Coturnix japonica: one gene and its partner. The protein of the gene in region 1 interacts with the protein of each later gene in a pairwise test. Links are inferred from orthologs where the notes say so. Each region holds a gene or a part of one and is shown on either strand. Other genes may lie near its edges.

The links.
Region 2: the proteins of PPP1R12A (region 1) and ATXN10 interact in binary tests that used the Homo sapiens proteins (3 or more experiments, as listed by UniProt). The link is inferred for Coturnix japonica from reciprocal best matches to the Homo sapiens genes PPP1R12A and ATXN10.

What each region holds. Positions count from the first base shown.
Region 1 is NC_029516.1:35,956,284-35,960,098, reverse strand, and holds part of PPP1R12A (protein phosphatase 1 regulatory subunit 12A), read left to right. Parts: intron 1-615; coding exon 616-732; intron 733-1,093; coding exon 1,094-1,300; intron 1,301-2,164; coding exon 2,165-2,259; intron 2,260-3,815. UniProt on the Homo sapiens protein: Key regulator of protein phosphatase 1C (PPP1C). Mediates binding to myosin. As part of the PPP1C complex, involved in dephosphorylation of PLK1. Capable of inhibiting HIF1AN-dependent suppression of HIF1A activity.
Region 2 is NC_029516.1:64,914,498-64,919,020, forward strand, and holds the start of ATXN10 (ataxin-10), read left to right. Parts: upstream 1-1,677; 5' UTR 1,678-1,692; coding exon 1,693-2,177; intron 2,178-4,523. UniProt on the Homo sapiens protein: May play a role in the regulation of cytokinesis. May play a role in signaling by stimulating protein glycosylation. Induces neuritogenesis by activating the Ras-MAP kinase pathway and is necessary for the survival of cerebellar neurons.

The DNA of each region.
Region 1 (3,815 bases):
CAAAACTTGTACAGGTACAAGTTGCCTTGAACTTAATTTTGCACCTGCATTTTCAGGCTTACAACATCTCTACAACTCTTCTGATTTTACATCATACATGGCCATACCGTGTTGCTCACAAGTGCTGCAGATGCAGTGTAATAAACTTAAATTTGTGTTTTCTTCTATCCCTATTGCATTTACTAATGCTGCATTCTGTCTGAGGACACTAAACTTAGGCAAGTGTGCAAATAAAGGTATGGGATTTGATAGCTAAGTTAGCATAGGACTAGTTTAAGGGATATGAATGGAATATGAAAGGCAGTGAGAAAGGTAATGGGTATGTTACTGTGAATCTTGAAATATTCTCCAGTGTACCATGATTTAGGCACGGACCTTGTAATGTATAGTATCCTCTCTTCTACAAACTGTAATTCTGTTGCTGAATTAGCTCAACAGAGGGTGTTGTTTTTAATAAGAATCTGTTACTATAGTTTTGTCTTATTACTTTTGGTATTTTATGGTGTAATGAAGAGCTATGTGCCATAAACATAGGAACAAACTGTGTGCTTTTGGAACTACCTTTTGTTTCTCTTTTCCTTTCTTTCATCTTTGTCTTGTCTCAATTGGCTTTAGTATGATTTCATTCCTCCTATCATGCCTGTCGTGGAGTCAGTAGATCCTGCATCATGGAGGCAGGGCTTGCGCAAAACTGGCATTGTTCTTGTGCCCAATAAGGGTGAAAAGGCAATGGTGAGGTTCTGGTGTGCACAGGCTTGTGTACAGGTTGCAAAATAACATATTTAATCAAATGTTGATAGCAGATTTGCATGGTTTTAACTTTGTATCTCATGATCACTGTGTGTATTACAAAGTGTGAATTTTTCCAAGCTAACTCTTAGAGGAGTAGTATTCCTTGACCAGTTTTATGTTTCTTATCTCATTAACTAATTAGAGAGAGGATTGCCTAGGTTGTCTCTCACTGCAACTTCCCCATGTATTCAGTACTTCTGTGATTATTAAATGTGGTTGTGTCCTCAAATCTCTGCAAGGAACATGAATTACTACAGATAGTGCAAATGAATAGCCTTTAATATGCTACTTTGTTTTATAGTTTCCAACCAAGGTTTCTCCCAAAGAAGAAGAGAGGAAAGATGAATCTCCTGCTTCATGGAGGTTAGGTCTTCGAAAAACTGGTAGTTACGGTGCCCTTGCAGAGATTACTGCTTCTAAAGAAGCTCAGAAAGAAAAGGACTCTGCAGGTGTTATACGTTCTGCTTCAAGTCCCAGACTTTCCTCTTCATTGGACAACAAAGAAAAGGTAATTGTTTTCAGTGTGAAACAGTATTTTGAGGAGCTCATATACTTACCACAGATGCTTATGATGTATTCTAAAAGTAAGACATTCTCTTTGGAGTTTACTGCATGTTTATACTTTAGCAAAATTCCAAGCTGTTAAATTATAGAGCTGTTGTGTAATCTCTTTAAAAGTACAGTATGCACATTTACTGTCTTTTGACTTGGTACATAGGTGTAGGACTTACATCTTTTAGGGACTTGCACTGTCAGTAGTAGTGTTTTTTTGCAATTATGGGGACCTGAGGGTTGGCAGTTTTGGCATCACTTGGAGAACAATGTTGAAAAACTTCCTGAAAAAGAAATCTCTTACTGAATTCTGTGGTCATTTTTTTTTAAATTTATAAAATATTAATTGCATATTTAAACACAAATATGCTGTAGTGAAGGACTAATTTCATCATCATCATCATAGAATTACCCAGGTTGGAAAAGACCTTGGAGATCATCAAGTCCAACCGCAGCCTAACCTGGCTGTATCTGAACAACATATATTCTATTTCAAGTGCAAATGTTTAAATCTGTTTTCAGTAATAATACTAATCTATGGTATACAAAAATACTAAATTAGTTTCTTTCAGTAAGTAATCTCCTGATTTCCAGTAATATAGCTCTAAATGAGAAATCAAGCCATTTATATTACTAGCATGAAATCACAAACAGTTCCCTTCTCCTGTTTTAATCCTTAAGATATTTAACTGAAACTTAAAACTTACTTGTATAATTGGATCATGGTAAATACAAATGTAGTTGCTATAACAGTGATCTTCCAGCTAATAGGCAGTGTAATCAATAATAGTAACACTTACTAAAAATCTGTGTCTTTCAGGAGAAAGATGGAAAAGGAACTAGACTTGCCTATGTTGCACCCACAATACCAAGACGACTGGCCAGTACCTCTGACATTGATGAAAAAGAAAACAGGTGACTCTGAAGTTACTGTTTAATATTAAATTATGTGATTTTAGAGTAGCTGAAAAACATACAGATATGAAGATGCTACTAGTTTATAACATTAGCCTGTTTCATAGATTATGCTGACCTGTAATCAAATTCTGGAAGGGTTTTTGTCATGTAAGTCTTGATAACCCCTTTTAAAATCCTCGTTATTTTGTGGCAGGAGTTCTGGGCATTGAGTGTTGTCATCTTGGGGATGAAAATAAAATTAAATGCAAAATAGCCAGTTGTAAACTTCCAGCTAATGAAGAATACAGAAAGAATTTTACTGCTTTGTCTTGAGCCAGAGTGCTGACATTGAATTCCATTTTTACTTTTGCTGAAAAAAAGAAACCAACCTCTTTCCTGCAGTACCTGGTTAAAACCATATCTTTCAGCACCAGCAGTTTACAGAAATTCTAGCAGTTCTTTGGTAACTTCCTCTTCTGTCTTTCTTGTTTGACTGTTGGTCTTTCATCATCTTTTGGAGATACTTAATCCTTTACTAATATTTTTTTCTTCAGCTTTCGATGTGAAGGGAATAAAAAGTTTAGGTGCCATACACTTGTCACTTACTAGGATTCAGAGAACTTCCATGACTTACCATGTCAGAATCTTCCCAGTTTTCAGTTCTCTCCTTTATTAAGATTCTACTTGGCTACTTTCTTGAGTTTTAATGCATAGTATAAAGTGGAGAAATTTCCTTAACACCTCGTCTCTGTCAGATTGTATTTAGATAGCCCAATTTTAAATAACTTAAAAATGAAAGTAGCTCCCATTGATCAAAATGTGCTACTATAATCGTTGTATCTAAAGCTGGCAAACCTGTTTTTGGAGTGCTCAGTTAAGAGTAAGCACAAGATGCATTCTGTTTCTTCTTATGCTTGTGGAATACTGTTGGCTAAGTTCAGTCTCTGAGTGACAGTAGCTGTTCTGAAGCAGGTATTCCAGATCTCGTGCTCCCTTTAGTTCAACTTACTGTACTCTCATCTCTTATGTTAGTTGACCATTTTTTCAAATCTGTATTTCTTTTAACACTGCAGTTTGGGGTTTCTACAGTCAGTCTCTGAGAGTACTATATTCTTAATTGCAGTTGAATTTATTGTTCAGTTGTGATTTGATAACAACAGATTGTTCTTACTGCATGTTTTATTCTTTTGAGGTTTTCTCAAATACTCTCACTATCCAAAAATGTCTTGGCTAAATGATACCTTAAGTTTGGGATAAATATTTAATTGCAGTCATATTTCTTATAAATTGTTATTGCTTGTCACAAAGGGATTAAGGTTTGGTGCACTGTTGAGGTATATTTCTCTCTTTGACATACCAGTCTCAACCATCATGACTTATTCACAGACCAAGTTCCAAAAGTGGTTACCAGCAGTGTCATGTTATTCCTGATATGCTTGACAAGAGATCATCCGTGTCATTAGACTTGGTGTTGACTAAACAGTTGACCTAAGAACTAACTTTATTCCTTGATGTACGAGTTATAAAGCACGCTTATAGGCCAGCTTTCTTAGACACCTGTACCTTGCGTAGTG
Region 2 (4,523 bases), about 29 Mb from region 1:
GATGGTGAATTAAACTGGACTGCTGGCCAAACTGCACCCCTTTCCTAACAGTGCAGAATTATAGAATCAAGGTTGGAAAAGCCCTCCAAGATCCATTTACTACCAGTATTTCCCCATGTAACCATGTACATGATGTACAACACCTACATGTTTCTTGAATATGTCTAGGGATGGTGATTCAACCACCTCCTGGGCAGCCCATTCCAGCATCTGACCACTCTTTCAGCGAGTTTTTCTATCATCCAAATGGAATCTACCCTGGTGCAAATTAAGGCCATTCCCTTTAGTCCTATCACTAGTTACACAGGAGAGGAGGCCACCCCCCCTTTTTCTCAGGTAGTTGTAGAGAGCAGTAAGGTCTCCCCTGAGTTTCCTCCAGACTAAACAATCTCAGCTCCCTCAGCCATTCCTCATAAGGCTTGTGCTCCAGACCCCTCACCAGCTTTGTTGCCTTTCTCTGGACACACTCCAGGGCCTTGATGTCTTTCTTGTAGTGAGGGGCCCAAATCTGAACACAGTACATAAGATGCAGCCATACCAGAGCTGAGTAGTGGGATGCTTACCTCCCTGCTCCTGCTGGCTGCACTATTTCTGATGCAAGCTAGAATTTTGTTGGCCTTCTTGGCCATCTGGGCACACTGCTGGCTCATGTTCAGCCAAGCATCAACCAATACCCCCAGGTCCATTTCTTCCACACAGTCTTCCAGCCACCCTGCCCCAAGCCTGTAGAGTTGCCTGGGCTTGCTGTAGCCAAAGTGCAGGACCCAGCACTGGATCTTGTTGAATGTATGGTAACTCCTGAGTCACAGCCTGAACCACTGATTGAGCAGCTGGTCAACCCTGGGAGCACAGGTGAAGGCAATTTAGCTGTGAGACCAGTAGAGATGGAGCCTGGCTCCATTTCTCTTAGACCTCATTTAAGGGCTGACTGCCATTGTGGAAGGATCTCTGGTTGGAGATCTCTGTTTTGTGGAATTTCCCCTTGCAAGCCCTGATCTTTGGAGACAGGTGAGTGCTTTTCCTTTGAAACCCCGTACTATTTGTGCTAGTCCCTTTGCTACTACATTCCTGTATTGTCCTTCCACCATGCTGACCTTTCTGATTGTGACATTCAACTTCATCCCACTGGCACCAGCAGATCAATGCTTCCTTCCAACTTGGTGACATTTGTAAACTTGCTGAGAGTTCTCAATGCCCTCACCCAGGCCATCAATGAAGATACTGATCAATTCTGTGATTCTGTGATATTGAATGGGAGAGGCTCCAACACTGACCCATGGGGAATACCGCTCATTACCTGCTACCAACTCAAACTCCATTCACCACTGGATGTGAATGGTGAGAATTAAATAACCCATACTTTTTTTGTATCATGCTTTCTTTCTGAAGTATAATTTCTGAATTCCTTGTCACATCTCTGGTGAATTAAGTTTGGTTTCTGTCTAGCGAGGCCTTTTGTAGTATGTGGCTACAAATAGTTATTCACTGAAAGTTCCAATTCTTATCCTGTAACAATAATAATAACTGTAAATATGTTAACCTTTTCTATATGTATTTAAAACATACAGTATTACCTACTTGGAGGCAAGCATTTGTGAAAGTATATGGGAAGTGAGGGAGGAAAACACTTGGGAAATGTTTGTGTTGCATGTGGCAAGCATTTACCTTCCAGGCTGTGCAGAGAGCCACAGGATGGTCCTGAGGGCCCCTGTGGGCCGACGAATAAAAGCTGACCGGGAAGACATACCTACAGATAACTTGTTAAGGGTATTTTTGAGGAAAAGGCAATGTTTTACAGAGCACAGCCCAGAGTGCCCACTTTGCCCCGTGGGCCAGCCCAGTAGACATCCTGCCACGGGCAGAAAACGCAAAAAGCAGCGATCTAAGGGCAAAAAACACTCTCCCTTCAGCAGCAGCACGGGACCTGGGCAGCTCCAGGGCGCTGCGGAACGCACCGCACACCCACCCTCTCCCTCGGCCCGCTGCTGGGGCCGGGCCGCCGCCATTTCCGCGCGGCGGGGGCGGAGCTGGGCCGTGCCGGGATACGCGATGGCGGCGAAAGCCGGAGCGTTGCCTGAGGTGGCGGCGCGACTGAAGAGACTCATGGCTGCCGAACCGTCGGCCCGTCTGGAGAGCGTGCGGGCCATGACGGGCCTGTTCCGGGAGGCGCAGCCCAGGTAGCGTGGAGGAGGGCCCGCCTGCGGCCACGTGTGCCGGGGGAGGGAGCTCCGGCCGTGCCGCCGGGCCTGGGTGGTCCTTGTGACTGCGAGCAATGCTTGTTGACTGCCGCGGGTTCGGTGTGGTGTTCGAGGTGCTCGCGTAGCTAAAGAGCCCTTGGGAAGCGACCACCGGTGGCTGAGTGTCGCTTATTCCTGTTGTTATGGCTCTGCCTTCCCGAGGGCGCCGTGGTTTACCTGGGAGGGCCCGGGAGTCACTTGTGGGGCGGGGGCCAGTGCGGTGTCCTCCTACGGGTGCTATGGGTACGGGGCAGGTGGCTGCAGTTTCCCTGCTAGGTAAGAAGTGAGTTCATGTGAGCAGTGTACACGCGTGGCACTTTCATGTTGTGCTGCTGCAGTCCAAGCAAAGCTCTGGGGGTTTGAGGTGGTTGGTCTGTGCCGGGCAGCAGAACAAGCTTGAGCGAGAGGAAGGGGGGAATTACCATAGGTAACTTAAAGACATGAAAAACAGAACGTATAGTTAATGGGAAAAAAAGCAAACGTGGTGTGTCCCTGTTCTGTAAGGTCAGGGATGGATGTCTGCAGCACCATGTGATGCTGCTGGCTACAGCAAAGTGCTCTGGATGTGCAGAGGTTCAGCTGTGACTGTGGTGGTTTTAGCTTTCCCTGGAAGGTAGGAGTCAGTGGAGGCTTATGGGAAGCTTGTGCCCTGCTCTTGTAACAGTAGCTGAAGATTATAACTTCTAGGAAGTTTGATCTTTGTGTAAAAGTGTATTATCTTTCTGGCTTTCTTTTTCTCTTGGGAGGCCAAAGGCCCTGTGCAAATGTTAGGCTTACACACTGATGCTTTCTCTGCTTCTTGCCTCCATCCCTGACATCTCTGAAACCAGCATTGACAGGGGGGTAGGTAACAGTAACCAGTAACAGTAACCAGTGTTCTTTGTATACATATAGTGAAGTGAAAGAGTGTAATCCTTCTTCTGAGGTGAGGAAGATGTAGCGTGAGTTTACAGCCCGTAGTACATGACAGAATGAATATGAGAACAACTTACAGAGCTGGCCAGCCATGGAAGATTAATGTACTTGGTGATATTGAACCAGAAGAAATAATCCAGTGAACACTTGATATTTAACTTGTGACACTGAGTGATAATTATTTTGTCATTATGTGATTGGTAAATCTGTAGTGTTCATGGTAACAAAAAAAATAAATGTAAAAAGGGAATGGCACTGTTTTGTAATTTAGAAGCAAATAAGGTTAGCAAAATAGGGGTAAAATAATTCAGTTATGTGGAATTAACTCAAGTTTCCCGCATGTTTCAATTGAGATTTTAAGTGCCTTTGAACAAATGAATTGTTTCTAATTTACACATAGAGATATAGAATGGCCGAGTTGAAAAAGACCACAATGATCATGAAGTTTCAACCCTCTGCTATGTCCAGGGACATCAACCACCAGACGAGGCTGCCCAGAGCCACATCCAGCCTGGCCTTGAATGCCTCCAGGGATGGGGCATCCACAGCCTCCTTGGGCAACCTGTTCCAGTGCGCCACCATGATTTTTGAAGGTCTGGTGTCTTGAACACAGTTAGATTAGTATTCTTAAACCTGTGTTCAATTGGATATCATTGTATAATTCATTTTTTTTAACAATGAATCTCTAAGGTCATAGAGTGGCAGTAATCTTTCTTTCAGCATGGATAAGTGAGTTCTAAAATGATGTTTTGACTTAAGAAGAAATTGTTTATGTCTGAAGGCTGGGCTGCTGTACCATTTGCTTCTGCTTTCAGTGTTCCTGCAGCATGTTTTTTCTTGATTCTGAAAACAAGTGGCAGCAGCAAACTGTGAAGGTCTGTCTGAAAGAATAAAATGCAGGAAGAAGTTTCTGGGATACTGATAGAGTGAGTGAATGAATTCTGGATGAATTTCAAGGCATGTTTAACGCGAAAGATATCTTTTCAGAGAAAAGCTACTAAAGGGACTTGTTGCGAACTTCACAGAATAATACTTAAAGATGAGGAAAAGGTTATGGAAGGGAAATATTTTCCTTTTCAAAAACGTTTTTAAAATATTTGTAGCCACTGTTCATATCTTCATGAAAATCTTTGACAAGAAAGATCTGGAAAGAGGACCACTTAAAACAAGCAAAAAACAATGGTGGTAAGGATTGCTACCTTTAGTTACCTGAAATCAATCTTAACTCATTCTTTAATGCTAGCTAAACATTTCCTGCTCTCCGCACTAGTTTGAAAATTGAGTTTTATGTTCAGAGAGATGATTTTAATTAAAATGTATTTGTAGCATGCACTCAAATTGCAACAATCTGTAAAAGTTTAAGTGCAAGAA